Linked DNA regions of Pelodiscus sinensis. The protein of the gene in region 2 interacts with the protein of the main gene of each other region in a pairwise test. Links are inferred from orthologs where the notes say so. Each region holds a gene or a part of one and is shown on either strand. Other genes may lie near its edges. The genes, in order: MAD2L1, KEAP1, ETF1 and WDR83.

Region 1 (7,556 bases), on a different chromosome or scaffold from region 2:
AGTGTTCACACTGCCATGGATGCTCTTGCGCAAAAGCACATGGCAGCGTGGACATGCTCATGCGCAAAACAGTTCTCATGCAAAAAGCCTGCAGTGTAGATGTAGCCAGAATGTTTTACAAAATTGCAGAAGAAATGGACGTGATTAGGTGTCTTTTTTTAAATCCTTCATTTTGATATAGATTTGTCATTCAAGTCTGCATGAACAGTATACCGTTCATAGTTAAAAAGGTAGCTGTCTCCTTTAGATTAAAGTTCCAATTCAAGTTTAAAAGACATTTTCTTCTAGAGTTGTTAGTGTTCCATTAATCACACAAAAGTCTGGAATACTCACAGGCTGTTTCCAGCAAAGGAAGAAATGTTACAGTGGCAGTTATTTGTCTGATAACAGATCGAATTTCCTCCTGGATAGCTTTCTGAGATTTCTCTCTTGGTACACTACATGAGTAATAAGTTGTCAATATAGAAAAAAGCTTTTGTTATAACAGAAAATTTCTCTGTATCTACATCTCTTCATTAAATTGTTTAAAAGCTGTTCTTGCTATACAATAGAGACAATTTTCCTTCACACACACACACACACCCCCCGCGCTCCCCCCCCCTCTCTCAAATGGACAAATACTATGTAGTGAAATACAAAGTGGATGATCAAGGTTTGGAAAAATATAACCAAAATGACAGCTTATGATTTTGATTCATTGTTCTTCCATGAGACCTCACAATGTTAAGACTACCAGCCTCTGTCTTGATTTCCTTGAGAACTGGTTTATGGGATAATACTGCTACCAAAGTAATTGCTTCTCAATATGAGAAATTTAGGAGAATAGTAGCAATCAATACTACCTTGAAGTCTGAAATAGTTGCTGAAGAAAATAACAGCTTTATACAATAAATTTTTTTAAAAAAGGGGGAAAATTCTATCTTTCATATACAGCTTCTTTTAAAGTAAATGGGAGTTATATATTCAGCTGAGATCAAAAGTTTTTCATTTGATTTAGAATGAAGCACACTAGTTAATTACCAGCAAACTGAAAACTATACAATGCTGTGAAAGATTTCTGCTCTGGTGTATTCTCTCTGCACCTGAGTGTTTTTTAAATGTTGCAGCACAGCCTATAAATACAAAGGGCCTTTAACACTCGCATCTAATCGACTACTAGCATGAACCAACAGGAAGGATTTATAACAGTGTAATTTTGAAAAAAACAAACAAACAATGGTCTTGTAGCACCTTAGAAACTGACAAAAATATATAAATAGTATATTTAGCATTCATGGGCCCAAGTGTAATTTTGAGTGCATTACCTTTCATCCTTTGCAGTCTTGTCACATTCAATATCAAACTGCCACCTTTCAAGAACCTCACTGCTTTCAATGCTAGAGATCACTACAACCAGCCGTTGTACTGAACATTTGTATAACCAATCTGAAATAAGAAAAATAAAAATTTCCCTACAGTCAGATAACGGAGATCACTCTACTACACACACACACACACATATATATATATAAAAAAAAAGAGAGCTGTCATTAAATCTCACATTACTATCTGCACTAGTAGTTTCACTGTGGAAAAGCTGTTAATGTGGAGTCAACATCCTAAATAAGTTAGTGACAAACCTTAAAGTATACGTTCACTTCACAACTAAATAGCGAATTCAGAAATATAAAAACACAACAGACATTGGCTATGTAAATAGGCAAGCTGAACATACATACTAAGAGAATGTAACCTGTTTAAGAAATTCACATTTGAGCACTGAAGGGCAAGAAACTACTTTGCCTTAGTGAGGACTGGATAGAATCATAGAACCATAGAGCTGGAAGAGACCTAGAAGGTCATCAAGTCCAGCCCCTGCTCTAGACAGGACCAATCCCAACTATATCAACCCAGCCAGGGCTTTGTCAAGCCGAGACTTAAACACCTCTAGGGATGGAGATTCCACTACTTCCCTAGGTAACCCATTCCAGTGCTTCACCACCCTCCTAGTGAAATAGTTTTTCCTAATATCCAACTGGACCTCTCCCACCACAACTTGAGACCATTGCTCCTTGTTCTGCCATCTGTCACTACTGAGAACAGCCTCTCTCCATCCTCTTTGGAACCTCTCTTCAGGAAGTTGGAAGGCTGCTATCAAATCCCCCCTCACTCTTCTCTTCTGCAGACTAAACAGACCCAACTCCCTCAGCCTCTCCTCATAAGTCATATGCTCCAGCCCCCTAATCATTTTGGTTGCCCTACGCTGGACCCTCTCCAGGTCTCCCAAAATAAGACTCTCCCCAACATATATAAATAGGATGGGTAAATATAAACAAACATGGACTATCACACAGTTCCTATGCATGTCGCACTCGAGACTCGTGACAGCTTTGACCTATGCCAGGCGCCGAAGATACAGGAGATCAAAGCGAGCGCCCATTTCGGTGGCTTGGCTCTGCGCTACCTTTCAGCTGCTCCACCACGTTGTTGAGGTAGTTTTTCAGGTCCGGGTCTGTGGTTACCAGCAGGGTGAGCCCGTACTTCTGCACGCGCGTGAAGGTCTCCGAGGGGTAGACCCCGCGCTGGTACAAAATGCTGTTGATGCCGAAAGCTGAAAGGCAGGAGAGGCGGCTTCGTCACGGGACTCCCCGAGTAGAGAGCCCGCCCCCGGCATCCCGCCCCGTTACACAAAGCGGAGCGCTCGGCAGAGACGCGGCCCCCAGGCCCCTCCGCGGCCCCCAGGCTCCCTCCCCCCGCGCTCGGTTCATCGCCCCCAGTGCGGCGGCCCGGAGCCGCCCGGCCGCCGACTCACAGAAGAACTCGGCCACGATCTCGGCGCTGCCCCGCAGGGTGATGCCCTGCTCCCGGCTCAGCTGCTTGGCCATGGCGCGGCGGTACCGCGTCCCCGCCGCCCGCTTCAAATCAGGCGCTGCCCGCGCGCCGCCTCATAGGCGCGCGCCGCCCCGAGCGTTCGCGCCGAAGCACAGGCGCTGCCCAATGGCGGCACTTCCCGCAAGCGCCGCCGCTCCTCCCTCCCGGAACCGCCGCCCTTGGGCGCAGGCGCAGTAACTTTCTGTCTTGGCGGGCTTGGCGAAGCGGTCGGGGTTGCGCTGGGACCTGAGCGTTCGCGGGGGCGCCGCGCCGACCAGCTGTGTGGGAAGGGGCAGCGCGTGCCCTGACTCCCCGCCCCCCCCCCCCCCCCGAGCGGGCCGTGCGCTACACCGCGAGGGACGCGGAGGTTCGAAAGTGCAAACACGCCCGGACCCTGCACGGCTGCAATCCCCTGCGCGTGCTGGGGGGGGGGGGGCTGGGACTCGAGTCCCTCCCCACCCCGGGGAATCCCCCATGTTTCTCAAAGCAAACGTTAAGCGCGGGCAGCTGCCGCCTAACGTGTGATCCCCGGCGCTGGGGCCGGTGTTTTCCCCAGGAATTGAAATTAAGGGCGGCTTTCCAGTTTATGGGAGTGTGTGTGTGTGTCAGAGCCAGCCAGCTGAGGCTGTACGGTAAATGAAAAGTAACGCAGCTGGAAAACAATCTCAACGATGCCTGCAAAACCTCGGTGTGTCAATTAGCTGTTACCGCTCAAGAAAGGTTCCCGCAGGACAGGTCCACCAATAGCTATTAGGATGGGCAGAGATTCAACACCATGCTGTGGCTGGGATGCCTTTATTTCTTCCTGGTGTTTCAGTCCATGCAGTCTACACGTGGTTGAAAAGTTTTATCCGCTGGAGGGGGGAAAGGAGCTGTTCGGCATAGAGAAGACGGTGCAATTGGCAGTAATGCAAATGTGCAATGAAAATGAGCAGACCACTCAGGCTGGTGGGGTTGAATTTCTTTAGAGGGACATGTATTGGGCTATAGAAGGAGATTAAAGGAAAGTGATGGTGGAGGGGCTGTTCCTGGCAACTTCCAAACCTTAAATGTTCTAAATGCAAATGTTAACAATATTATTGGTCCTTCGGGGATGGATTAAAACAGTGCTGGGCAACCTAAGCTAGTGAGCGGATTGCATGAGTGATGCTCATTCATCTGAGTGGGTTGCAAGATTGTTTTACCAAGATGGTCCCTTGGAATAGGGTAGATTTGCTATCTGCACTTGTGTACTTAGAATTTGTGGGATGACCTAATTTATAATTTATAGCAGCACTTTGACTGGATGCAAAGGGAGTGCACAGCTCTCTAGTCAATGCTGTGTGCAATAAGCACAAACATCATTTTATGTGCCCTTTATGTGTATGCCACTTCAGTAATACCAATAGGAAAAAAGTGATGCACACATACCACTGGAATCTAGCAACCCTGTGCATGGGCAGCTGTAAACACAATTTCTCATGGGCCATACATATAAACCCCTGTGGGCTGCACAAGGCTCATAGCTACAAGCTGCATTAGAGGAAACAATAGGTCTCTTTCCATCTCCCAAGTGCCTGTCACTGGGTTCTGTAATTGTCACTTTACAGTACAGCCAGAATACATTCAGTTCGTCCCCTTTTTTATATGCAAGATTCATAATTTGTTTCCATAGAGGAAAAGTAAAAGTACAGCTGTTAAAAGGGCAAGAAAATTAAGGAACATGTCTTCAATCCTGTTGGAATACAGTGAACGTACAGCTTCCCCATATGGGGAAAAATTGGTTCAGAAAAAGAAGCAGCAGAAAAAATGGGTTCAGAAAAAGAAGCAGTAGTCTTATCGACCTGCTTACCCAGTAACTGCATAAATGGCCTGTCCAGAGCAGCCCTTTGCCCACAGCAGGACCACAGCTGGACTCTGCCTGTGGCTGCAATAGGCTGGCTGGACCCTAGCTGAAGCAGAGTGGTCCGGAGAAGCCCTCTGCCCACAGCCATTGCAGGATGGGCCGGAGCAGCCCCCCTGCCTGCAGCACACCCACCCTCTGCACAGTGGACAGGAACAGCCCCACATTCCACCCCTGTGGCATAGTAGCTCAACCGGCAGGACCCTATTCATGAAGGCTGCAACAGGTGTCACCTGTGATGCAATGATTAATTGTTTAAGCACTGTAATTTTAATTGTTTAATCAGTTAACTATTTTAATGGGTTTTTACATCCCTAAAATCAGCACCTACTGGAGCAGTTAGGTAACCTCTGGGAAATGGTGTGTTTATTCTAGAATTGTTTGGACTGTGTCCTATACATATCTTGGTTTGAGACAAATAGATATTTGTCCCAATGTATGTCATCAGAAAGGCCAGCGAAGGGGGATGTGTTGCTCATCCCAATACACTGTGTTGCTCATCCCAACCTCCCTCAAATCACATAGTCTGATGCCAAATTGTCTTATCTGAATAAGGAATTTGCCTTGAAGTAAAGTCCAAGTAAGATACTGAATCATCTGCTATTTGAGAGTGAGGAAGGGAGGCCTATCTAGCTTCCTACTGAGTGGCTTGGAATACAGTAAAACCTGTGTTATCTGGCACGCTCATCGGGGATTAGGGTGTTCCGGTTATCTAAAAATTCCAGTTATCTGAGGGTCCCATCAACCTAGGAAAAAACAATGAAAAATAATAATAAAACTCGAGTTTTTAATATTGGTAGTTTTGCAGTATGAGGCAGTTGGTCTCATATTTCTATTTTGAGTTAAAGATTATTAGTACTTCTTAAATAAACAGGCGCATGCAGTTGCGCGTGGTGGTCATTGGAAAAATGTGAAGGTCCCTGATCATTGCCTGCATAGTCTGGAACCTGTGCATGGGCAAGGATGCTGTTCCTGTGGTGGAATCCAGGAACGTTGCTACAAACTCTATAGTCTGGGAGGGGACCATCATGGACTCCTCCTTGTTCAGTATAAGGCCCAACTGCAGGAATAGGCTCCTGGAAACGTGTGTGGCTACCTGGTCCTGAGATGAGCCACGAATCAACCAGTCATCCAGGTAAGGGAAGACTTATACCCCGTGGCGTCTCAATGCAGCTGCCACCGGGACCATACATTTGGTAAAGACCCTTGGCGCTGTGGTGAGTCCGAAGGGTAGGACTGTAAACTGAAAGTGGTCCTGGGCTACTGTGAACCGCAAGAACTTCCTGTGGGAGGGCAACACCATGACGTGGAAATATGCAAATTTCAAATCGAGGGCAGCAAACCAGTCTCCTTTTTGTAGGGAGGGAATAATTGATGCTAGAGTGACCATTTTGAACATTGTCTTCTTTATAAATGTATTTAGTCCTCTGAGGTCTAGAATAGGATGAAATCCCCCTTTTGCCTTTGGTGCAAGGAAATAATGGGAGTAAAACCCCCTCCCCCATAACTCGTCCGGGACGGGCTCCACTGCCCCGAGATTCAGGAGCTTCACCACCTCCTCCCTCAGCAGTGTTTTGTGAGAGGGGGGTCCCTGAAAAGGGAGGAAGGGGAGTGGGGAGGAGATGGGGGCAGAGGGGAAGTAAAGGGGATAGAATAGCCCCATGCCACCAGGCTGAGAATCCACTGGTCTGATGTTATAGATACCCAGGCTTGGTGGAAACGGGATAAATGAAAACCAAAGGGGGGGGAAGAAGACGTGACTGGTATGCTATCCTCGATCGTGCCCTCAAAATGGTGATTTGGGGCACTGACCCGCATACGTAGTGGGGCCCTTATCTTAAGTTGGTCTAGAAGCTCTGCGCCGGTTTGTAGGCGGGTTATTTCTAAAAAAAATTACGGCCCTGCCTTCTGCTGCGGTCATAGGTAAAACCCCGCTGAAATTGCCTTGTAGCAGGCTTGGGGTTGAGGGGTCGCCTAAGTGGACCGGGCGTATGGATTCCCAGAGACTTAAGAGTTGCCCGGGAATCATTCAGACTATGCAGTTTGGAGTCCGTTTGATATGAAAAAAGATCCGCTCCTTCAAAGGGCAAGTCCTGAAGGGAGGTTTGCACATCGGGTGGAATGCCCGACACGTTTAGCCATACAGTCCATCGCATAACAACTGGTGCCATTGTCCATGCAGCTGAATCAGCTACGTCTAAAGCCGCCTGAAAGACCATACGGGCCACCGTCCTGCCTTCGTCTGCCAGGGTCCTAAACTCTTGGCGGTCTTCCTGTGGCAAATGGTCCCAAAATTTGTCCATAGCGGACCAAGTATTATACGCATAGTGTCCCAGCATAGCCTTATGTGGAATAGGCTTACGTCCCAGGAGGTCCAATTTTTTTGGGTCCCTGGCTTTAGAGGTTGACCCGGGGGGACCCTGTCTTTCCTTTTGTCCTGCTGCCTGAACAACCAAGGAACTCGGGGGTGGGTGGGAAAACCAAAAGTCATGCCCATCTTGAGGAACAAAGTATTGTCTCTCCACCCCCTTCTGGGTGGGCGGGACGGAGGCCGGTGTCAGCCAGAGGGGCTTGGCCAACTTATCCACCGTTTTTATCAGGGGCAAGGCCACCCTGCCCGGGGTTGCAGTGGAGAGGATGTCAACCACGGGATCTGTATCCTCCTGGACCTACTCTACCTTTACTGCCAAATTCTTCGCCAGCCTTCGTAGGAGGTCCTGATGGGCCCTTGCATCCATTGACGGCAAAGATGGGGCTGGGGCTGTTAAGGCCTCATCGGGATAGGAAGATGAGGAGTCCTGTGGTACAGCGGTATCCTCCATTT
Region 2 (6,858 bases):
GGAAAACCCCCAAACAGCGGGGGGGGGGGTCCCGAGGTCTGTGACCTGCTTGAAAATCCCACCAGCATGCCAAGGCTGCCCTCCACGCTGCCACTGTGTGTGGAGAAGGGGGGGGCCTGCAAAGGACCTTAACGTTTTCTGCTGAAAAACCTCCCTGAAGTCACAGATTCCCGGGGCCTGTTGCTGCCACCCCCCAAATGCAAAAGCCCCTTTGAGAACCCAGGAAGATACACTTGGAAATTTCTTCCTGTGGGGCTCATTGAGCTCTTGGAGCCTGAAACCCCCTATAATTGTCCTTAATGCGGGGGGGGGGGGAACCTTTTCTAGGTCAGTGACCCACAGAAAAATCAGTCAGGCCCAGGCTTGTAGATTTTGTGCGCTCCAGCCCCACAGGGGGGAACGGGGCAAGGGGGCCGCCCCGAGCCTCCAGGGCTGGATCCGGGCAAGCCTTAGGCCCCCCCCACCCCATAGCTGACCTTTCAGTCACAGATCCGCCGGCCTTCTAGGGCGCAGGAATCAGCCCCCGGCGTTAAAACGGGGATTTCAGGATCAAATGAAAGACGCTCCTTGGTCGCGGGGCGTTAGAGCAGCCAGAACCAAACCAGAGTCACGCCCCCGACTTGCTTCCCTGGGACTTGGCTTGGAGAGTTCGAGCAGAGCGGGGGTCCAGGGAGTGGACCCAGAGAGACCCAGCAGAGCCCACCATAAAAACAACCTGATGGCGTCCGACTGGCTCGTCCCTGCTCTACTCGCTGCCTGGTGCTTAGAGACTCAGCCCTTCCCTAGACCCGGATGTCTCTGGATCCGGCTCCCTGGCTTGGCCCCTGGCCCAGCTCTGCTTACACAGACTGGACCAGGTCGCTGCTTCCCATTCAAAAACCTGCGCTCTGCTCCCATTGGTTGGCCGGCTTCCTGCTTCCCGGTGTCCCAGAGCCTCTCTAGGCCCCGCTCTCTGTGGTTTGAACCCTCCAGGCAATTCCATGAACAGGAGGGCCGAAAGGGCCCCTCCCGGCCAACACCTTCTGCCCCACGTCAGGCCTCCCTCTGCCCTGGCAGTGTTCAAACCTTCCGGGAAAAGCCAGACACAGGTGCTGAGCTCTGGGGTTCCTGCCCTCCGGCCTTGCTCCTGCAACAAGGGAGTTTTTCCTGTTCCCACGGGGGTGGGGGGGCAGCGGGTCCTTGGGCATCCCAGCGGCTGGGGGTGAGGCACGGTCCCAGGCATTAGCAGGCGCTCTGGGGTGCCGACAGCAGGGGGCCGCAGCTGGAACCCCCGTACTCCAGAGGCTCCAGGCCAGAGGGGCGCAGCTGCTGCAGCCACCTGGCGGCTGGGACAGGTGCTCACGGGGTTGCCCCTGGGGATTAGCAGAGGTGCCCTGGGGGGCTCCCAGGTGATTTCTAGCACAGAGACCTTCTCAGCGGCAAGTGTGAAAATCCAAGTCACGTGCCTTCTGCGTCACCCAGCCAGAAAGCATCGCATGGAACCCTGGCTCCCGGCGACCCCCTCCCCTCCCAGAGCTGGGCGAGAACCCAGGAGTCCTGCGTCCCAGCAAAGCACCAGGCCCGGCGAGTGGGACCCAGCTGAGAGGCGCTGGAAGGGGGGACTAGGGAGGGGAGATTGGGAGAGCTACATTCGCGCACTTGGAGCCAGGCGGCAGCTGGGGGTGGGGCACAAACCACTCAGAGCTGAGAGTTAGAGGGATCCACTTGGGGGGGCTGAAGGGGGGAGCCTGGGGGCAAGCTCAGGGAGACACAGAAGAGCAGAGCCAAGGCAGGGCCTGGAGCTGAGTGCCCTGCCAGTGATTCCCTGGCTCCTGAGCTACACCCCCCCATGCGGGAAACGGCCGCCCAGGGCAGCACTTGGCGCAGGAACCAGGGCTGAGCCCTGTGTGAACACCAAATGTGTCTCCACCTCCGATCCATGATTGTGGGGCCTGACGCCGGGGTGCAAAGACGCCCAGGCAGGAGCCTGGGAAACACCTGGTACGAGTGTTGTACTTAAAAGAAGCACTCGGGATCTTTTTCAGAGGGACAAGGCAACACGCCACATTTACTGATCACACATAGAATAATCAACACTTATCATATGGACATGATACATATATGTCACTCACACACACACACACACACACACACACACACACTCTCCGTCTTGCTGTTGTTACCAACGAGTTGCTCCCCTTAACTTCACTGGCCAGGTGAGTTAGATGGGGGAGGGGTGGAGCCGGGCTTCTGCTGATCCGGATCGATGCTCCGATGGTGACTAGACGAAACCCGGGGTCCTCTGCAAGACACCTCACTTTTATAGCAGCTTCCCTCTTATGCAAATAGATCCCAGATTCAAACTCTGGGTCTGTGTCCCTTGGTCCCTTTGTGGGTGTTGTCTGTTCAGAGAGGGTGTTTTCCAAAGAGGGTGCTTGCTTCTAATCCCCAAGGCGGTGGATATGTCTGCTTGGGTCTGGCTTCCACCCCCTCTTCAACTGGGGTAGCTCTCTGGAGGGGCTGGGCTCCCAAGTCTTACTCATTCACACCTCGTTCATTCAACAGGGCAACTGATTGGGGGGGGGGGGAGTAGGGGGAAAATCTTATTCTACTCCTAGCAAATGACATTTTTACCACTTTAACTGTAGATTCAGTTTTCTACGTCGGGTTCTAATACAAAGTGACACGGTTCTATGGAGAGGCACATGCCAAGTCACATGCCGCAATATACAATACACAGATTTATCTACACGAGTGCCACCTCTGCACCTGTCCCCGAGGGGGGCGCTGTCTCCACTGCAGCCCTGTTGTGATGCAGCCACTTCTGGGGTGGGTGAGGAGACGGTTTTACAGGGATTCCTCGCCCCAGTTGAGATGCAGCTGCCATGGGCCGTGGTGGAAGGGCCCAGATGGCGGAGGGTCGCTCTCAGAACACGCAGCCCCAGGAGCCTCTCTATGGCAGCTCAGTGGAGCAAGCTGGTGCCCACTGGGCCACAAAAGGGGCTGAGACCCTGCAAACTCATTGCACTTGGGCCTCCACACAGAGGCACAGGCCAGTCGCTGCTCCCCAGGGAGTCCTAGGAGCGCCTGGAGGCAGGGCACCTTCCCTGTCCGGTACAAAGTCCCGGAGCCTCTCCGGGCTGGGCAGGCGGAGGGCAAAGGGCAGCAGCCCCCCCTTGTTCTTTCATAGCACCCAGGGCTCCGTGGGCCCTGCCCCAGAGAGCTCAGGCAGCGAGGGGCCCCCAGAACTGAAAGGGACGGGGCAGGCTGAGAGAGGGGCCCCCCCAGAACTGAAAGGGACGGGGCAGGCTGAGAGAGGGGCCCCCCCAGAACTGAAAGGGACGGGGCAGGCTGAGAGAGGGGCCCCCCCAGAACTGAAAGGGACGGGGCAGGCTGAGAGAGGGCCCCCCCTTACTCCAGAGAGGGCCCCCCCAGAACTGAAAGGGACGGGGCAGGCTGAGAGAGGGGCCCCCCCAGAACTGAAAGGGACGGGGCAGGCTGAGAGAGGGGCCCCCCTTACCCCAGAGAGGGCCCCCCCTTACTCCAGAGAGGGCCCCCCCAGAACTGAAAGGGACGGGGCAGGCTGAGAGAGGGCCCCCCCCTTACCTTTGCTCCCCCTGCCCCAGCCTGCTTCCGTCCCAGCCACCCCGCCCCCCTTCTGTGCCTCCCCCAGGCTCTGCCCCTAATCTCCCCCAGTCATCCCGCGCCCCCCATTCATCCTCTGCAGCGCCCCCCCGCGCCCTAATTCTGCCCCCAGGCCGGAGCGGATGCGCCGCTTCCCCGCCGCGTTCTCGAACCCGAACGCTGGGGCCGCCGCGTTCCATCCGGCCGGGGACTGGGGGGGGGGGCGGGTGGAAACCAGGGGACTCTTATTCTGACAGCGGCCGCGCTCTGCTTAGTCATGGTGACTCCCCCCCCGCGCCGCTCCCTCCCCCCAGCCCTGCCTGCGCCATGGAGGAGCCGAGCCGGGCCCAGCCGGGACGAGCGGGCGAACCAGGAGGGCCGGGGCCATGTCTGGGTTAGTGACCCCCCCGGAGAGAGGGGATCCCCGCCCCCCCCCGGGCTTGTGGGGAACCCGCCCCCGGGCTCCGGGGACCTGCTGCACAAGCCCCCCCCCCAGGTGCTCTCACTAGCTGGGCCCTCCCGGAACTGTCAGGGACCCCCCGAAGTGGGGGGTAGGGCCCTGGAGTGGATGAATTGTGGGGGCGCCATTGAGTTGGAAGCGGGAGGAAGGAAAACGGGGGGGGGGGGTTGCGGCCGAGCCCCCCCCCCCCGGCCCATGTGGCGCTTTGTCTGGGTCGCTTTAGTCAGCTGTTTGGGGGCTGGGGTGTATGGGGCGGGGGCGGGGGTTGTGCATGTGTAGCTCTCACGGGGGGTCACTGCCCTAGATCGGGGACCAGTACTCCCCCCCCCCCCCGGCCTTTCTGCTTATCGCTCCACCGGCCTGCCACGAGCCTGGATTGGGGGGTTATTCCTGGATTGGGGTCACCCCCCCCGCACACACGCGTCCGAGGAAGTCCCTGCGTGTGACAGCTGGGGGCGGGGGTGTCGCCGATTCGCTGGCTCTAGCGTCTTGGGGGGGAGCAGGCGGGACCCAGGCTTAGGGGCTGCTGGAACTGAGCTCCCCCTCGTAGGGACCTTGTTTAGAGCCCCCCATGCCCAGCTCCCTTGTCAGGCAGGCGGCGGGGGGGGCAGCGGGCTCTGGTCAATGTTTTCCATTTCTGGCTGCATCCCTGAAATTGCAACACGTCCCCGGATGGGCCACCCACTGGCCTCCTTCACCCCAGCCCCCCCCCCCCTTGGTGGCTGCAGGATGGATAGCTCCCTGGTGAGGGCTGTCCTGGCATCAGGGAGGGGGTGCTCTAGCAGGGCGGGGATACAGAGTCATGTTGTTCCTCGCCCTCCCCAACTTGTAACTTTAGGCAAGCTCCTTCCCCTGGCTGTGCCTCAGTTTCCCCATCTATGCAATGGCATCATGGTACTGTGGTAATTAGGGGGGTGAGGGAGGTGCCCGCTGCCCTCTGCTGAATAGCATCAGAACAGCTCAGCTGTGTCATAGGCCCTGCACTGATAACACCTATGGGGAGTTCCTAGAGAGGGAGCATGAGCCCTGCTGAGCAGGCGGGCGGGGCAGGGTGCTCCCCTGGTCTGTGAGCTGCATGGGGCCCAGGACGCGGAGGCTGGGTGGCAGGACGAGTTCAGGCAGCCGGCAGGGCAGAGCTGGGCTGGGCCAGGGATTTTCTGGATCTGTCCCTGGCCTCCGGGCTCAGGAGCTGCGCTCACAGCAGACGCTGCATGAGCCCAGGTGCCCGCGTGGTGTGGGCACTGGGCTGGGACTCAGGACACCCGGGGTTCCCTCCCTGGTTCCGACACCTGGGGCCGCCAGACTGCGGCCTCTTTGGGGCAGAGACTGGGCGTGCCTGGCCCGGCGGGTGCCCCCCAGCTGTGACCCAGGCCCTATGGCCCTAGGACATGTCTGTTTCTAGGGCAGGGGTCTCCAGCTTTTAAAGCACGAGATCACTTTTAGAATTGAAGTGTAATCCAGGATCCACCTCAAACCCAAACTCCCTGACCCCGCCCCTTTCCCAAGGCCCCGCCCTGCTCCCTCCCCCGTCCTCACTCACTTTTATCAGGCTGGGGGCAGGGATTTGGGGGGCAGGGGTTCAGAGCTGGCTCCAGCTGGGCACTGGGGGGTGGTGCAGGGGGCCAAGGCAGGCTCTCCCCTCCCCTGGCCCTGCACCACTCCCAAAAGCAGCCAGCAAACTCCCTCCAACCCTGCCCCCCTCTGCTCTGTGGAGCTGGGGTACAGGGTGGGGGGAGGGACAGCCTGACATCAGCACCCCCTCCTCTTCCCGTGCCCTGCGCAGTGAGCAGGAGGCTCCCAGGGGTGGGGGCAGCTCCAAGGCAGAGGGCAGGAGCAGCACGGCCGTGCTGGGTGCCGGCACTTGACAGCCTCCCTACCAAACCTCTCAGGATCCAGCGGGGGCCACCTGGGGGATTGTTGGGGGCCGGGGGCCTGCTGGGGGAACGGGGCTGCATGGGGGAGATGCTGGGGGCAGAACAGGGGGCCGCCTGGGGGGCTTGTTGGGGGCTGGGGGGACTGCTGGGGGAACGGGGCTGCATGGGGGGACGCTGGGGACTTGTGGGGGGCTGGCAGGGTTGGGGGGGCTGCACGGAGGGTAGCCGGGGGTGAGCTCTGACCCTGAGGACCCTTTCCCCAACCCCGCTGATTTGAGGCTCAGTCCCCGTGTCCTTGGCTGTGCCTGGCCTCCGCGCTCCAGTCCTTGGCCTACCTCCGAGCGGGGCCCTCGTTAGCAGTGATTCTGCCTCGTTAACGCTGGAGCCAGCCCCCAGGAATGGAGCCGGGGCTGGGGGGGTGGCCCCCCCGGCCTGGCCCGCTGGGGGCTGCGGCAGCCCAGTGGGGAGAGACCCCCGCGCTCCCAGCCGGGCCCCCTCCTAAGCCCGTCTCCCCCGCAGGTGTGGCTTTGCTGCGGTGCCCCCGGGCTCAGTAAGGTGCCCCCCGGCGGCCTAGCCCCTCCCCCCGCGGCGATGTACGCGCCGGAGTGCAAGGCGGAGGTGACGCCGTCGCCTCACGGGCAGGGCACCTTCAGCTACACCCTGGAGGAGCACACCAAGCAGGCCTTCGGCATCATGAACCAGCTGCGGCTCAGCCAGCAGCTCTGCGACGTCACCCTGCGGGTGCGCTACCAGGACGCCCCCCCGGCCGACTTCCAGGCCCACAAGGTGGTGCTGGCCTCCTCCAGCCCCGTCTTCAAGGCCATGTTCACCACGGGGCTGCGGGAGCAGGCCATGGAGGTGGTGCCCATCGAGGGCATCCACCCCAGGGTGATGGAGCGGCTCATCGAGTTCGCCTACACG
Region 3 (7,087 bases), on a different chromosome or scaffold from region 2:
AGCCCATTACTCCTTGTCCTGTCCTCAGAAACCAAGAGGAACAAATTTTCGCCTTCCTCCTTGTGACACCCTTTTAGATATTTGAAAACCGCTATCATGTCCCCCCTTAATCTTCTTTTTTCCAAACTAAACAAGCCCAGTTCATGAATGTCAATCTTCACGCCATTTACCCCCTCTGCGCCCGCCTGTGGGTACCGGAGAGCAATGTGTGAGCACGGGCTTTGGGCCTAGCTCTGCGGGCTGCTCCGCACTGACACAAAAAGGTGAATTTTTCCATTGAGTTAGCAGGATACTATTGATCCCCTCCCGCCCCAGCTGTTTAACACCTTTCAGATCCTTGGAGCTGGTTGGGTCGTAACCTAGCTAACAATCGTTTTGTGGACAGGACGGGGGGGAGGGGACGTTGCACTGATTTCACTCTGCGTCGTTAAAGAAACACACACCCAGTCACTAGAGCAGCCCTGAGTAACCCGCGTGTCGTAGTTCTGAGATCCTCAGCTCACAGGCAACACCAAGTTCTTGTAGTTCCACCCAGAATGCCCAAGAGGGGCTCGTAGCAATGGCTGAGCTCAGCCGCATGTTGGCGACGGCTCGCGAGCCTCCTGCATGGCTCTAAAAGGTCCCTTGAGACACGCTTGGCTGCAGCGTCCAGTTCCGTCCCTCTTCGAGGCCTGGTGCTGGGTGTGCGACCGGCCAGGGACCACTTTTGCATGGGGCTCTCACCCATGGAAATATGCAGATCTCTGGGGGAGAGGGGTAATGCCCGGGCAAGCTGCTGACATCTCACATCTCAAGCATGTGCCCCATCTATCTGCGGGCATTGTCTGCGCTCCATGCCCACCTGGCAGACATTGACCATAAGCCCGGCACACCCGCAGCTCGGGCAGTGGTGCAGGCAGCCTGCTAGTGAGCAATGGGACGTGCAGCTGACAGTCTCCGAGTTGCTCACACCTTGTGACAGCCAGGGCGGGCTTTAACAAGCGTGGGGCCTGATTCGCGCATGCGCTGTGTGCCCAGGGCGGGGCCCGATTCCGGGGAATCGCCACCCGGCCCTGGTGACGGCTGTCGCAGGCCCTTCAGGGTGGCTTTGAACAAGTTAGCAGAAATCTCTTGTTTTTCCGAGCCACTGAACCTTGCCCCTGGCTCCCATTTGAAGCGCATGGCTTGAAATGAGTCTTGTGTCCAGGTCTGGGCACCATATTTCAGGCAAGATGTGGAGAAATTGCAGAGGGTCCAGAGAAGAGCAGCAAAAATGATGAAAAGTCTAGAGAACATGAGCTCTGAGGGAGGACTGAAGGAATTGGGCTTGTTTAGTTTGGAAAGGAGAAGACTGAGAAGGGACATGATAGCAGTTTCCAGTTACCTAAAAGGGTGTCACAGGGAGGAGGGGGTGAAAATGGTTTTCCTTGGCCTCTGAGGACAGGACAAGACGCAATGGGGCTTAAACTGCAGCAAGGGAGGTTTAGGTTGGACATTAGGAAAAACTTCCTACCTGTCAGGGTGGTTAAACACTGGAATAAATTGCCTAGGGAGGTTGTGGAATCTCCATCTCTGGAGATATTTAAGAGCAGGTTGGACAGACACCTGTCAAGGATGATCTAGACGGTGCTTGGTCCTGCCGGGGGGGGCAGGGGACTGGACTTGATAACCTCCCGAGGTCCCTTCCATAGTGTTCTATGATTCTAAGCCGCTGCCACGAAAAACGGGATGGGAGTTACAAGGGAATTTTGAGAGTTAGGCTGTTTCTCACTCAGTTCTCCCTGGGGATTCCAAGGCTAACTGAAATCCAGGGCTTCTGGGAGCCGTAGCGGGAAGCGAGGAATAAACACTCACTGAGCGCTGAGATTGCAATGGTGTAGTGTAGCGTAACAATGGATGTGGACAAAGCAGATTGTGTAGTGCCGGGTTGGGACTCACACCAGCGCTCTTTACTGGGTCAGCTAGCAATGGTGCAGTTATCCAGGCAGACACAACCTGATTCGTGCCAGGTTATGCAGTTTATCTCAGGTAAAGGGACTGACGCATTTCCTGACTCCCAGTTCAGTGTCTTAACTGCAAGACCAAGTTTTCTTTTGCTCTGCTCATTCACTTAAACATGAGGTCCCATCCTGGACAGGGACACTTTGACTAGAGCAGCCTTTTGCTGGTCACGCAGGGCGTGCTTTGGTTGGAATATGCAGCTGGAAAATATAGGCCTTGCTCTGTATATCATTTACTCTAGCAATGGAGATGAAATACTGGATAGGGTTCTTTGACCAGTGGGATACAGTGTCTAACTGGTATCGTAATAATTCCTCCTGGCCTTAATGAGGCTGTGGTGCCAGATAATGGTTTTCTAGTGAGCGTGTAGCCATTTTGACATAGGAAACTACGTCCCCGTCAAGTCACAGCTACTATCAGGCAAGCGTCCCCTTTCTAGCTAGTCGCCAAGTCTCAGTAACTGAGGATACGTCTAGACTACAGGCTTTTGTCGACAGAAGTTTTATTGACAGATATGACAGTGTAGATGCAATAACGCCTTCTGTCAACAGAACTCTGTCAACAGAAGGCGTTATTCCTCGTAGAATGAGTTTTACAGCCATCGACAAAACTGCTGAGTTCTGTTGACGTTATGTTGACAGAACTCAGTGGCAGTGTAGACCCAGGGATAGTTTTGTCGACCAAAGTCCACTTTTGTCAACCAAACCCTGTAGTCTAGACACACCCTGAGTGCCAAAGGGTGAGGGTAGCTGTGCGACACACTCTGGTGGATGTTTATGAGAACGGCCATACTGGGTGGGAGCAATGGTCCATCGACCCCAGTATCCTCTCTTCCAACCAGGCCCGCCTATGAGGGAGTGGTATGAGGACAGGGGGCAACTGCCCCAGGTCTGGTGATTCAAAAGGGCCTTGGGCCCTGTAAATTGGGCCCTGGAAGGCTCTGGGCAACTCTGAGGGTCCCCAGGCCTGCCCCTTCCACCCAATGCCTCACCCTTTCCAGCAGCACAGAGCTGTCTGTCGGCCCCCCTGCTTATGACAGTGGCTGACGCCAGGTGCTTCTGAGAGAATGAACAGAACAGGTGACCGCTGATCCATGCCACCGTCCACTACTAACTTCTGGCAACTAGAGGCGAGACCCACCCAGAGCATGGGGTTACATCCCGGGGTGAAAGGAACTTAACATTTCTTAGAGGTACAACCCGGAGCCCTGCCAGCTTTCTCAATAGCTCCCTGCTGGTTTTTGCCAGAGCTCAGCCAGTTCTTGCCGGAGTGGCGCCAGCGCTGACTTTCCCCTCTGCTTGCCTCCCTGCCCCCCGGGGGGACGTGGCTCCCGCTGTGGGGGGCTGTCGTGCCAGGCAGGCAGACAAGGAGCCCTGAGCGCTGCGCCGGGCGGGTACGCGGGAGGCGCCAGGGAGCGGCACTGCAGGCCTGTGCCCGCGCCAGCGCGGTTCTGCGGTGGGGGCGGCGTGTACAAGGGGGGCCGGGGGGGCCCAGCTCCCCCAAGCTCCGGAGACGCCTCACGCCCGCTGGCTCCCACTGGGCCCCCGGGGTCCCTGCGCTAGGCTGGGCGCACGGGGAGCCCTGCTAGGCAGCGGGTCCTGCTCAGCCCCAGCCGGGGGGGCTCCAGCGGGGTGGGGCAGGATCGGGCCCTGCTGCCCCCAGGAGGGGCGGGGGGGGCATAACCCGGGGGGAGGGGCACGGCTGCCGCGCCCTGGCTTTGCTGCCCGCCACGTGGGCAGCGCCCCGCCCTGGCCCGCCAACAGGTCCCTCCCGCGCCAGCTGACGCCTCCCCCCCTCCCACGTGCGCCTTCCCCTTTAAGAGCCAGCGCTTGGCCTGACGCGGCATTGCTGAGACATCGCGAGAGCCAGGCCTTCCCGTCTGCGTCCCTCCCGGCGGGGGGGAACTACACACCCCGACAGGCGCCGCGCGCGGGGCGGAGGCTGGCCTGAGCTGTCCAGCCAATAGCGACGGGGAGCGCGCGGCCCGGCGGCGCCAGCCAATGGCGGCGAGCGAAGGGAAAGGCGCCGATTGGCGGAGCCGGAGGGGGTCCCGCCCCCCTCGCCTCTCCTCCCCGCCCTCTCCGGGGTCCCTCGGAAGTGATGTCACAGGCCCCATGTGAGCGGATTGCAACACATGCAGCGCGGAGAGGGGGAGAGAAGCCGGTTTCCGACGTCAGAGCCGCCGCGAGCCGCCCCCGCCGCCGCGCAGGGAGGAGCCGCCGCCGCCGGGGGGACAGCGCCTGAGGTGAGCGGCGGGCGCGCGGGGGGGCGCGCGGGGGGCCGGGCCGGGACTAACGGCTGTCTGTCCCCCGGCGCGCAGGGAGGAGGCGGAGCAGCAGAAGATGGCGGACGACCCCAGCGCTGCCGACCGGAACGTGGAGATCTGGAAGATCAAGAAGCTCATCAAGAGCCTGGAGGCGGCGCGCGGGTGAGCAGCGGCCGGGAGGAGGGGGGGGCGAGGCCCGGCCCGGCCCTGGGCCCCCGAGCGGCAGGGCCGCGGGGGGGGGGATCCTCGCGTGTCGGGGCTGCGGGCGGGCGGGCCCCGCTCGCCCCTTCCCCCCCCCCCCTCCGGCCCCGCGCCTCACGGGCACCCGGCTCCCGCTGGGGCACGCGGCTCGCTGCCCTGCCCGGAGCCGGCACCTGCCCCGCGGCTCCACCCAGACACCAGCTCGGTGACACCGGGGGGGAAGGCGGGGCCGGGGGCTGCGATGCTCACCTCACACCGGTAGCGCCTGGATCCCTTGGAGCTGCCCGAGCGGGCGTCGCCTGGAACGTGAGCTGGGCCCCTGGCCCTGGGGCGCTAAGCCCCTGGCCCTGGGGACAGTGGCAGTGGCCATGTGCTCTGCGTTTTGGTCAGCCCTGGGTGGAGACGAAGCTCCTGAAACCCGGCGTCTTCTCCGCCCCGCCGAGCGCGGGGGGACCGTGAGGTTTGCTAGTGAAGTTGCCATTCGTACCCACGCGCCGCGCCATCACTGACCGTGGGTTCCAGCCCCGGGCGCTGGAAGACACTTCCCTTTCCCCTTGCAGTTGTTCCAGTGTCACCAGCTGGGGAGAGAGTGCGGGGGCCTTGGGCTTTCTTTAGCAGGCTCTGATAATCTGTCTGAACAGGCTGTGGAAACAAAGCAGGTGCCTTGGGTGTTTCAGTTGATTTCAGCTGAAAATAAAACTCTTTGTGGTAAAGGCTGGAGTATTTTAAATGCAAACAAGTGGGGCCGGGAGGGAGAGTGAAGTGTTCCCTGTAGAGGCACAACGATAAGTCGAATTACAAAAGCGAAGCATGGAATTGATTTTTTTTTTAACAGAGAAGTGCAGTGTCTCCCTTAAGGCACTACTGGGAGCCCAGGAAATGGGTTTGTGTTGCAGTTGGTAGGTCTGAGACTTAGTTCATTAAGCCAAAGCTCTCTAGAGCTGTGTGCCCATGGAATCACCGCAGGTCTGCTCTGTTTTTCAGCACTGAAGACTAACCCTGTGCAGCTAAGGGAAGTGGGGGATAATCTGAACACTGCCTTTTCCTGGTGGCTTCAGAGCACCTTGCTCAGCATTCCCGGGGTGCAGCCCTGCTCTTCAGTGGGGGTGGAGCGGGGGACTGCCCATGGCCCATTTGTCATGTCGGCATCTAGTCTGTGGAGTATTTCTAGGCTTGTTCAGATAGATCCTCACCCAGCATTAGGACTACCTTGGATGTAAGGGCAGGCTGGAGTAAAGGCGGCTCCTGCCTTGACTTTTGCTCAGATCTGCAGTGAGCGAGGTACAGCTTTATATGCTTATCCCATCAGTCACACCGCAGGTAGGGTCTTTCCTCTTTACTGTCATAGCTGAAAAAGTGAATGACTCCCTGGGAAAGAGCGAGAGCTCCTGACGTCCCCCAAAGCTGTCAGCAAGCCCTTCTCAAAAAATGTAGGGTCACTTGCTATTATAAGCTACTGAATCTGTTTTGCCCCAGGCCTTTCTCCGTAGTTTCTGCAGCAAGTTAGGTGCAAAAAAAAAAAAAAGGGAAATTGTGTGAAGCTTCTTGAACTCTGGCTTCTCAACATTGAGCCCGGCACCCCCTTTTTGACTCTCGATCTTACGGAGATGAGATGGGGGAGGTGATACCTTTTATTGGCCCAACACAGAGCTCTTCACAACTGTACCAATCTCATATGTTTCTGAGTGTTTTTTTTTTAATCATCCTGGGTTCATGTGACCAGTCACTATATTTTTGCTGAATATCCAGTCTGTCTTCCCCAGGAGCCTGAGCTATGTCTGTACTGCAGCCTGGAGCAAACCTCCTAGCCCAATGGGAGACACGCATGCTAGCTGGGCTCAAGCTAACACTGCTAAAAATAGCGGTGTAACTATTGTAGCCCAAGCAGCAGCTTGGATGCTGAAGCCACCCAAACCCCTGGGTCTGAACTCAGGCGGCTAGCCCAAGTCTCGGTTGCAGCAGCCACGCTGTTGTTTTTAGCACACCTGCATGGCTGCCAGAGCTCTGGGCGTTGGAGCTACTGGGCAGCTCATGAGAGAGAGCGTGTTTCTTTGAGTTCAAAGGCAGTAGGCAACTCAGCAGATGGGTGGTACAGGTGTGTGCTGGAGCATCCTGTTAAACGCTTGAGAAGTGAGCCACTCTGCTCTGGGGAGTTTGGCCACCATAAGCCTCAGGAAAAAGGCAGCCTGGAAATTAGCACAGTGAACGCGGTCAAGGAAAAGGATAACCGCCTCGAAATCAAGCGTTATTGTAAAGTACCGGCCGGTAGGCTAAGAGCACTAAGGGAAGCGGTGGCTGGAGGAGGAGGCTCTTGTATGTTGGCTAATGTATAGTAAAATCCTCACACAGACAAGGCAGCCTTAACTTGAAGTTGTGCTAGTAGCTGGTCAGGGAAACACTGGAGCCTAGGATTCACATAGCTCTGCCACACGTGGTAGAACTGCAGCGGCTGCGTTTTCATTAAGGTTTTAGTTTGGCTGCGCTGAAAAGTTGTTTTCACAGCTACATTGGTCAGGCACGGGGGAGGAGAGGGAGCACACCCTCACCCACACACCTACGCCAACAAACGCTCAAGTGCAGACGCAGTTGTGGTTGGCAGAAGGAGGCTTCTGTCGATGTAGCTAATGCTGTTCCTTCACC
Region 4 (7,458 bases), on a different chromosome or scaffold from region 2:
GAGTGCAGTGGTCGCTCAAGGCACTGTGGGACACCTCCGGAGGCCAATTACAGCGATCTAGGTGTCCACACCGGCAGGCCAACAGTAAGGCCTCAGCACCAAACCCCTGATGACTCTGGGAAGTGGCTTTATGACCTCGTTATGACTGAGGGGTCTGGACCCAAAACGAGGCTTGTCCGTGTGACCGCCTCAGGTGTTTATTGAAAAAGGCTGATTTTTAGTGCAAAACCGTGCAAGTGTCGACCAGACCTTTGTGACTCATTCCACACTCGTCCTCTGTCCTGTCAACAAGTCAGTTAGCGCCGATCAGAGTGAATTACTTTTACAGTTTTCAGAGGGGTCACCAGGTGAGCCTATTTCTGCAAATCAAGGCAACCTGGGGCCCCTTAAAGACTAACAAATTCATAGATACAACTGACAAAGTGGGTTCCAGCGTAGGAACGCTGCTGCCCAAATGAATGTGTTAGTCTTTAAGGTGCCATCGACTCCTCGTTGTTTTATTTACAATGCAGGTCCTTGGAAACGGGACTAAGAACCACAAAATATCAGTTACGTGGTAAATACCTTAAGCCGCTCCTGAAACTGGAGACAGAGAGTTGAAAGGCCCCATTCCACACACACAGAGGTTATTTTTGAATCAAAGCTCCTACAGCAACCACCCGTTTATTTAGATCCCCAAGTGTTTCAACACAGTGTTCATACACACGGATGGTTATAGCCTGTGGGCCCTTCCTCTCCCCTGACAGTTTCTCGTTGCGATTTTCAGGGAGCTGTAATCTCCTCACCATGGCGGGGACATGGGCTGGGGGTTCTGTAGGTAGGACATCACCACAGCAGATATAGACAACCTGAAGCCAGAGGAAAAAAATGAATAATGTTAAAAATAAACCAACCAGGAGGTTTTATTTATTATTTCAATTAGGGATGTAAAGGGTTACATGGTTACCAGGTAAGCATGATTCCTGGGATAACCAGTCAACCAGTGCCCAGCCTAGCCGGAACAGCACCCCTAACTCACAACACAACACAAGAGGCCAGTTAACAGTTTAAGAAGTTAATATTTTAAATGGAATTTTACATCCCTAATTTCAACATCCCCCTTCATGTCTAGGTCTCATACAGCACCAGCATGTCAGCGAACGATTCCCTGGTTTGCATTGCTGACCCTGCATGCGGCTTGCTCACCACACAGAAATGGAGCCGTCTCTCCAGGGCAAGGCAGCCGTTGCCTAGCATCAAACTCTGCACCAGTATTTCAGAGGAGATGAAAAATCTTCCATTCAAGGAAAACTGCAGGGCAGGTGTTTAAGGAAAAGGACTGTGGGTACCAGAGTTGGGATTGGTCAGGATATGCACCCGCAGCTCAGCTTTTAGGAAAAGATGCCGTGAAATTTAATATCCAAGAATGATCAAGACTTTGGTTCGGAATCTCATTCTAACCTGGCGTCTCCCACAGAGCAGCCTCTCTTCCCAAGCACCATGCGGGGGCACTGGCTCGCTGCTCACTCGGATAACAAGGGCTCCGAACTAATCACCACACCATTTATCCCCCTTTCACAGATGGAGAAACCAAGGCAGCAGGAAAGTGTCAAAGTACAAATCATGCAGGATTAGGGGCAGAGTTAGGCCCAGACCCCAAAAGTTCGGCTTCTACAGCTCTGCTCAAACCACAACGCAGCAGCCACTGGTGAGGAGGGACTGGTGGGGGGTGCTAGCTACATGACCCTCCCCAGCCCGGGGAAGTGGCAGGGCAACCCCCCTATACCCCAGGCCCTGCCCCTGCTCTGCCCTCCCCCACTTCTTCCCCATCTCTTCCCCCAACCGAGGCGGCACAGGGGACTAGTGGGGCAGGGGGTCAGGTGCCAGCAACAGGAGTCTGTACTGCCCTGCCCCGCCCGCCCCCCCACTCACTGGCAATGGCAGGAGAAGTGGAGTAAGGAGGCTCTAGCTCACTTGGCTCTCCTGGCCACATCACTCCATTTCCTGCTGGGGAGTACAGGGGCAGTCCCGCCACCCCTCCACAGAGCAGCACACCAGGAGAGCAAAGCAAGCTGGGGCCCCTGCTGCCAGTGAGTGTGGCTGGAGGGGGAGAGGAGGGGCAACTCCTGCTGCCAGCACCAGGCCCTCCCCCTCCCCCCACTTGCCACCCCATCAGTGGCTGGCCAGGTCTTTCCGCCAAGGGCGTTTAGCGCCCATGACACACGCACACATCTATGCTCCCCCACCCATCGCCCCTGCACAGGCAAGTGGGCACATTTGGACACGCATCTTCCACTCCCATGGGCAACGAATGAGAAGCCAAAGGAAGACAACGACTCACATGAAGCTGCTCATCATCTGTTTGGTGTCCTCTGAGCTTCTGGAGTTGGCAAAGCTAATGAAGGAGCAATAGACGGCAATCCAAGCGCACCACTTCAGCTAGAAACACAGAGGAACTCATCTGAGAGCTGCCAAGGGGGCCCTCACCGGATCTCTCCATATCTTCACTATCTAACCGCACCAGGCAAGCATCCAAACTCTTCAAACATTCACTAGACAAAGTTCCCAGTTCCTGCTCCCTTGGGAAGCGAGTTAGAGCCAGTACCATTGCACAGACTCATGCAGCAAGAGCTTAGAGTTGGACTTCAGTGTCCTGACTCCCAATCCCTTGATTTAACCATTAGGCCACAGTCCCTCCCCCAGCCAGGAAGAGACCACAAGAGCCTTGACTCCCAGTTCCTTTTCTACTCATTACACACTCAGCCAGGACTAGAAGTAACGAACCCTCCTCTTTCCACCCAGTTTCAGTGCAATGGCTTAGACTAGTGATTCCCAACCTTTTTGAGCATATGGACCCCTTTTCAATCTATTAAAATGTCATGGAACCCCCTCCCTGCGGCAGGAAAAGAAAGAAAAGGAAATGCCCTTTATTTTTAAACTTTCCACAGACCCCCTGCAGTACTGAGGCAAACGACCAGGGGGTCAGCAGTCCACAGGTTGCTTAGCCCCTCCCCCTTCCATCTCCCAAGTCATTTAATCTTGGAAGACTGTGGAATCCCTCTCACTGGAGGTTTTTAAGATCAGGCGCAGGCAAAATACAGCTCATGGCTGAATCTGGCCCACCAAGCCTTTGGATCCAGCCACAATCTGCCAGGACCCTCAGGCAAAGTCCCCCCTGCCTATGGTAGTCCCAGGCCACTCCAAGTGTCTGGCTGCTGGGTTCATGTGTCTCTCTGTGCCACACCCCTTATGGGAGTGGGGGAAGACTTCATGCACTGTTCCCACAGCCAGCACAATTGCCACAGCTCCCACTGGCCAGAAACAGTTGAAATCACTACTATTTGTAGCCCTGCAGTTGAGCCAATTGCTCTCGCTCGGTGCCAAGGGTTTTTTGGCACAACACAGATACATTCTAGGTAGCGTCTAGAAGTCCCTTTCTGCTCTGCAATCTTTCTTGGAGTCTGTGAAAGCAGCCGCTTGGTTCAGGGAACAGGCGCTGTGAGTCAAGGCAGCGCTGCAGTGCCCAGCGGCACAAATGTTCTTTGTAATAAGGAGTAACGTGGCTCGGGTTTGCTTTGCCAAGAAGGCACCGCGCCCGCCCCAGATCTGACGCTCGTTCCTTTCCTGCTCACCTTCAGCATTAAGCCGCACATGCTGAAAATCATCCCCAGCAGGTTCATGTAATCGGGAGTGGGGTCTTCCAGCGTGGGGTTGTTCTCCGTGGTTGGCGGCTTGTACCTACACAGCGCGTCAGGACAGAGAGAAGGGAGCGTTAACTCAGCCCCGGTCACCCGCGGGAGCACCCAGCGGACCAGGGATCTGCCCAGCCCTAGCTCGGGGGGGTGGGGGGGGTCAGGAATCAGCGGGGGGGGGGGTCTCATCTGGGGCACAATCAGGCAGTGAGATGCGGAGCCTCCCGCCTCCGCTGACCAGGCCGGAGGGAGGGAGCGGGGCGTGGCCGCCATGGGGGGGGGGGGGACCGGGGTCTCCGCTTCCCTCCTCCGGGCCACGCGCCAGGGAACCCGACAACTGCCCCCCCCCCCGCAGCTGGGCACCGCGATCAGACCGCTCCCCCGGGGGGGGGGGGCGCCCCGCAGCGATCGCTCAACCCCCCCCCCCCCTCACCTCAGCACCTTGTTGGGCCGGCGCGGGTCCGCCATGCTGTTGCTGGACATTGGCTCGCGCGGGGGGCGCGGTTCGGTGTAACACGCCCCGGCCCGAAGCGATGGTTCCGGTTAAACCCCTGAGCGGCGCGAGCCGAGTCCCGAGCCGGCCCCCACGCGGGGAGGGGGCGAGCCGGGGCTGACAGCGAATCCCCCCCCCACACACACACACACACCCCGCGGCGGGTCCCTGCTCAGGGGAGGCGGGACATGGCGGGGCGGAACCAAGGGAGCCGGAACCTGCGGGCCGGGGGACGGGAATAGGAGCCGGACGCGGAATTTCCGGCTTCTTCCCGGGTACCAACGTGGGGGGAGGAAGCAAGAGGGGCCATAGGGGCGGGGGAAGCTCTGGGATGATTGAGGCCGTAATAGGCTGTAGGGGTTGGAAGGACCTGGGGTGGCTATAGGGGGCTCTATAGGTGCCAGGCTGGGGAGAGGCCATAGGGGGTTGAAGGACAGTGGGCACCGTTCTATAGGGGGTGGCTCTAGGAGACTGGAAATGTGTGAAGCCCCTTATGGCTCCCTGGGTCTTCAGAGGGTGACCTCTGGCCACCCTGCAAACCTAGCCAGGCCCTAAATATAAAGGGGGTTGGATTTCCCCTTTGGCCCTGCCTCCTGTGGCAGCAACAGCCACAAAATCACCTTCCGGTTGTTTCCTAAGCCAGGACGGAACCGTCTGCTTCCCCGAGCGAGTGAGTCCTGCTCCCAGGGAGACACCTGTAAGGCCGGAGTCTGGTGAGAAATTTGTAACCCCTCCCCCAGCCTGCCCCAGTTGAGTCGCGTCACCAACCCCACGCGAACGGAGTCCAGCTCTCCCAGATTTACCCCCGTGGGAATTGCCACAGGTCCCAGCCGCTTGGGTCCCATCATGGCGTTTCCTGAACCGAAGCCCCAGAAGACAGAGCTGCCAAAGAAGCTGGTGCAGACTCTGGAGTGCAAACAGGGAGCAGTCAGGGCAGTGCGATTTAATGGTGAGCACATCCTCACGGGTCCCATAAAATGAAAGAGTGGGGACTACGAGATTGGAATGGGAGCCAGGACTCTTGGGTTCTGTTCCCAGTTCTGGGAGCGGGGTCTAGTGGTTAGAGCAGTAAGTCAGCGCAGTGAAGGCTATTTAGAGACCCATTGTTGCCAGCATATGTCAAGAGCTTAGGCCAAGGCTACTCAACTTTAAAGCCCCAGGGGCCACAATGATACTCACAGCACATGCCGAGGGCCGCAACTTAAATGTAGTTTAATGTACATGCAAATATATGGGGCTTCACGCAGCTTCTTTCACACAGTGCCCCGGCGCTCCCGACACCTCCTCCCTGGGGGCTAGAAACACTGGCACCCTGTACCTGTCTGTTCCAGCCAGCCCGTCCACTTGCATCTTTCACTGCTCACCCCACCTGGGAGACGCCTCGCCGTTTGGAATGTGTTCCCAGTGGAGGCCACGTTCAAAGGATCCCACCCGTGGGCCGTGTGTTGAGCCCCGTGTAAACCCCAACTGCACCACGGGCTGCGTATGGAGTAGCCCTGGCCTACGCTGTTAGGATGTTGCCTATTGTGTCCTGGTGGGAATGAGGGGAGTCTGTGTCCCTGCGTAGGTCTGCTCTTAGGTTCTCCCATCATTTTGGGGAGCTTGGGGACAGCGGATGAGCATGCATGAAGGAGTTTGGCTAGCAAGGAGCCATGCAGAGGGAGTGGACATCAGAGAGGAGAGTGCAGGTGTGGGGTGGAAATGCTGGATGTGGGGCAGACACTGGCAGCTGTGCTCTTACATGGTCCTTGTGCATCGTTCTTTGTCCCATCTCCCACAGTGGATGGAAATTACTGTCTCACCTGTGGCAGCGATAAGTCCTTGAAGCTGTGGAACCCCCACAAGGGGACCGTCCTGAAGACCTACAGCGGCCATGGCTATGAAGTGTTGGACGCGGCTGGGTAAGGGCAGGGGGTGGACTCCACTTCTCTCATAACCGGCAGGATTTCAGGAGTGAAACCACTTTAGAGTGTTTGGTTTGGAAGTGGTTAGAGTGGGGGGAGGAAGGGGTTAATGGCAGAGGCGGAGTGAGGACTCCTGGGTTGTGTTCTGTCACTGATTTGCTGTGTGGCACCTCCCCCTTTGGTGCCTCAGTTTCCCCATCTGTAAAACAGGCACAACTACACCGACATGCCAAAGAGATGCAAAGCCTCCCTGCACGGCCAGCTCCCCATGGTAGAGCCTAACCTTGTCTTCCTGTTTCCCCCACAGCTCCTTCGATAACAGCCAGCTCTGCTCCTGCGGGGCTGACAAAACGGTTGTCCTGTGGGATGTGGCCACTGGGCAGGTGATCCGCAAGTTCCGAGGCCACGCTGGGGTGAGGCCCGTTTGGTTATGGCTGTGCTGCCTGGGTTGGGGGTCGATGCATGTTCCCATCAGCCAGCCAGCCGGCTACGTGTTGGGGAAGGGCCCAGCTGCCCTCTCCCTGTCCCACTGGGACTCGGCACAAGCCACAGTGCAGCTGGATGCTCCCTCGCTTACTACACCAGTCCTGGGAGGGTCCTTGCTCCCAGCCAGGGACTGAATCGAGGGGGGACTGCCTAGAGGGGTGTGTGAGCATTGCAGGGTGGTGAAGCAGCAGGGTTGAGTTGCTTGTAGAGGGCAGCTGCAGGGGATGGGATGGGGGCAGTGTTGGTGTGGCATGGGAGGGGGAGATGCTGATGAGCTGGGGCAATTGCTTGGGGGACGGCCCAGCAAGTGCAGGGCCCCATGCTGCAGCTGCGACTCTACTCAGCCCCGGCTGTCTGCCCACCCCCTCTCTCCACCCACAGAAGGTGAACTGTGTGCAGTTCAACGAGGAGGCCACTGTGATCCTGTCAGGTGAGCAAACCGGCTCAGGTGCCCCAGCTGACTCGCTAGCCGGGGGCTAGGCCCAGCGAGGGCCTTGGCCAGGCTGTTACTCTCCCTCCGCTCTGTGCTCCCTCCTAGGCTCCATCGATTCTAGCATCCGGTGCTGGGATTGCCGCTCACGCAGACCCGAGCCCATCCAGATCCTGGACGAAGCCAAGGACGGGGTGTCCAGCCTGAAAGTGTCGGACCACGAGATCCTCTCTGGGTGAGGGGGGGCACCACTGGGGGAAGGGAGCTGAAGGGAGCTATAGAGCCCAGTGTGAGTTAGAACTGCTGGAGGAGCCAGGCTCAGACCAAAGACTTGTCGGAGCTGGGAGAGGAATTCCCTCAATCAGAGACACGTGGCCTCAGGTTTGCCCTTTGCAGGGTGCCACACGTGGGAATGGAGCTGGTTCAGGGGCTTGACTCCCTCCGCTGCCTGTATCCCTAGGCGCTGCCCTGGCA

Evidence for each region.
Region 1: the proteins of KEAP1 (region 2) and MAD2L1 interact in binary tests that used the Homo sapiens proteins (3 or more experiments, as listed by UniProt). The two-hybrid records come from large-scale screens. The link is inferred for Pelodiscus sinensis from reciprocal best matches to the Homo sapiens genes KEAP1 and MAD2L1.
Region 3: the proteins of KEAP1 (region 2) and ETF1 interact in binary tests that used the Homo sapiens proteins (3 or more experiments, as listed by UniProt). The two-hybrid records come from large-scale screens. The link is inferred for Pelodiscus sinensis from reciprocal best matches to the Homo sapiens genes KEAP1 and ETF1.
Region 4: the proteins of KEAP1 (region 2) and WDR83 interact in binary tests that used the Homo sapiens proteins (3 or more experiments, as listed by UniProt). The two-hybrid records come from large-scale screens. The link is inferred for Pelodiscus sinensis from reciprocal best matches to the Homo sapiens genes KEAP1 and WDR83.

The regions. Positions count from the first base shown.
Region 1 is NC_134715.1:36,054,705-36,062,260, forward strand, and holds the start of MAD2L1 (mitotic spindle assembly checkpoint protein MAD2A), read right to left. Parts: upstream 3,013-7,556; 5' UTR 2,865-3,012; coding exon 2,792-2,864; intron 2,591-2,791; coding exon 2,444-2,590; intron 1,426-2,443; coding exon 1,305-1,425; intron 438-1,304; coding exon 334-437; intron 1-333. UniProt on the Homo sapiens protein: Component of the spindle-assembly checkpoint that prevents the onset of anaphase until all chromosomes are properly aligned at the metaphase plate.
Region 2 is NW_027465991.1:323,318-330,175, reverse strand, and holds the start of KEAP1 (kelch-like ECH-associated protein 1), read left to right. Parts: upstream 1-3,841; 5' UTR 3,842-3,880; coding exon 3,881-3,997; intron 3,998-6,456; coding exon 6,457-6,858. UniProt on the Homo sapiens protein: Substrate-specific adapter of a BCR (BTB-CUL3-RBX1) E3 ubiquitin ligase complex that regulates the response to oxidative stress by targeting NFE2L2/NRF2 for ubiquitination.
Region 3 is NC_134727.1:4,050,324-4,057,410, forward strand, and holds the start of ETF1 (eukaryotic peptide chain release factor subunit 1), read left to right. Parts: upstream 1-4,070; 5' UTR 4,071-4,225; intron 4,226-4,300; 5' UTR 4,301-4,322; coding exon 4,323-4,408; intron 4,409-7,087. UniProt on the Homo sapiens protein: Component of the eRF1-eRF3-GTP ternary complex, a ternary complex that mediates translation termination in response to the termination codons. The eRF1-eRF3-GTP complex binds to a stop codon in the ribosomal A-site.
Region 4 is NC_134729.1:13,375,587-13,383,044, reverse strand, and holds the start of WDR83 (WD repeat domain-containing protein 83), read left to right. Parts: upstream 1-4,447; 5' UTR 4,448-4,861; exon of another isoform or gene 4,862-4,877; intron 4,878-4,987; 5' UTR 4,988-5,010; coding exon 5,011-5,113; intron 5,114-5,944; coding exon 5,945-6,065; intron 6,066-6,375; coding exon 6,376-6,481; intron 6,482-6,935; coding exon 6,936-6,984; intron 6,985-7,092; coding exon 7,093-7,219; intron 7,220-7,458. Other genes in the region: WDR83OS (PAT complex subunit Asterix), read right to left, coding at 782-848, 2,321-2,418, 3,612-3,717, 4,105-4,154. UniProt on the Homo sapiens protein: Molecular scaffold protein for various multimeric protein complexes. Acts as a module in the assembly of a multicomponent scaffold for the ERK pathway, linking ERK responses to specific agonists.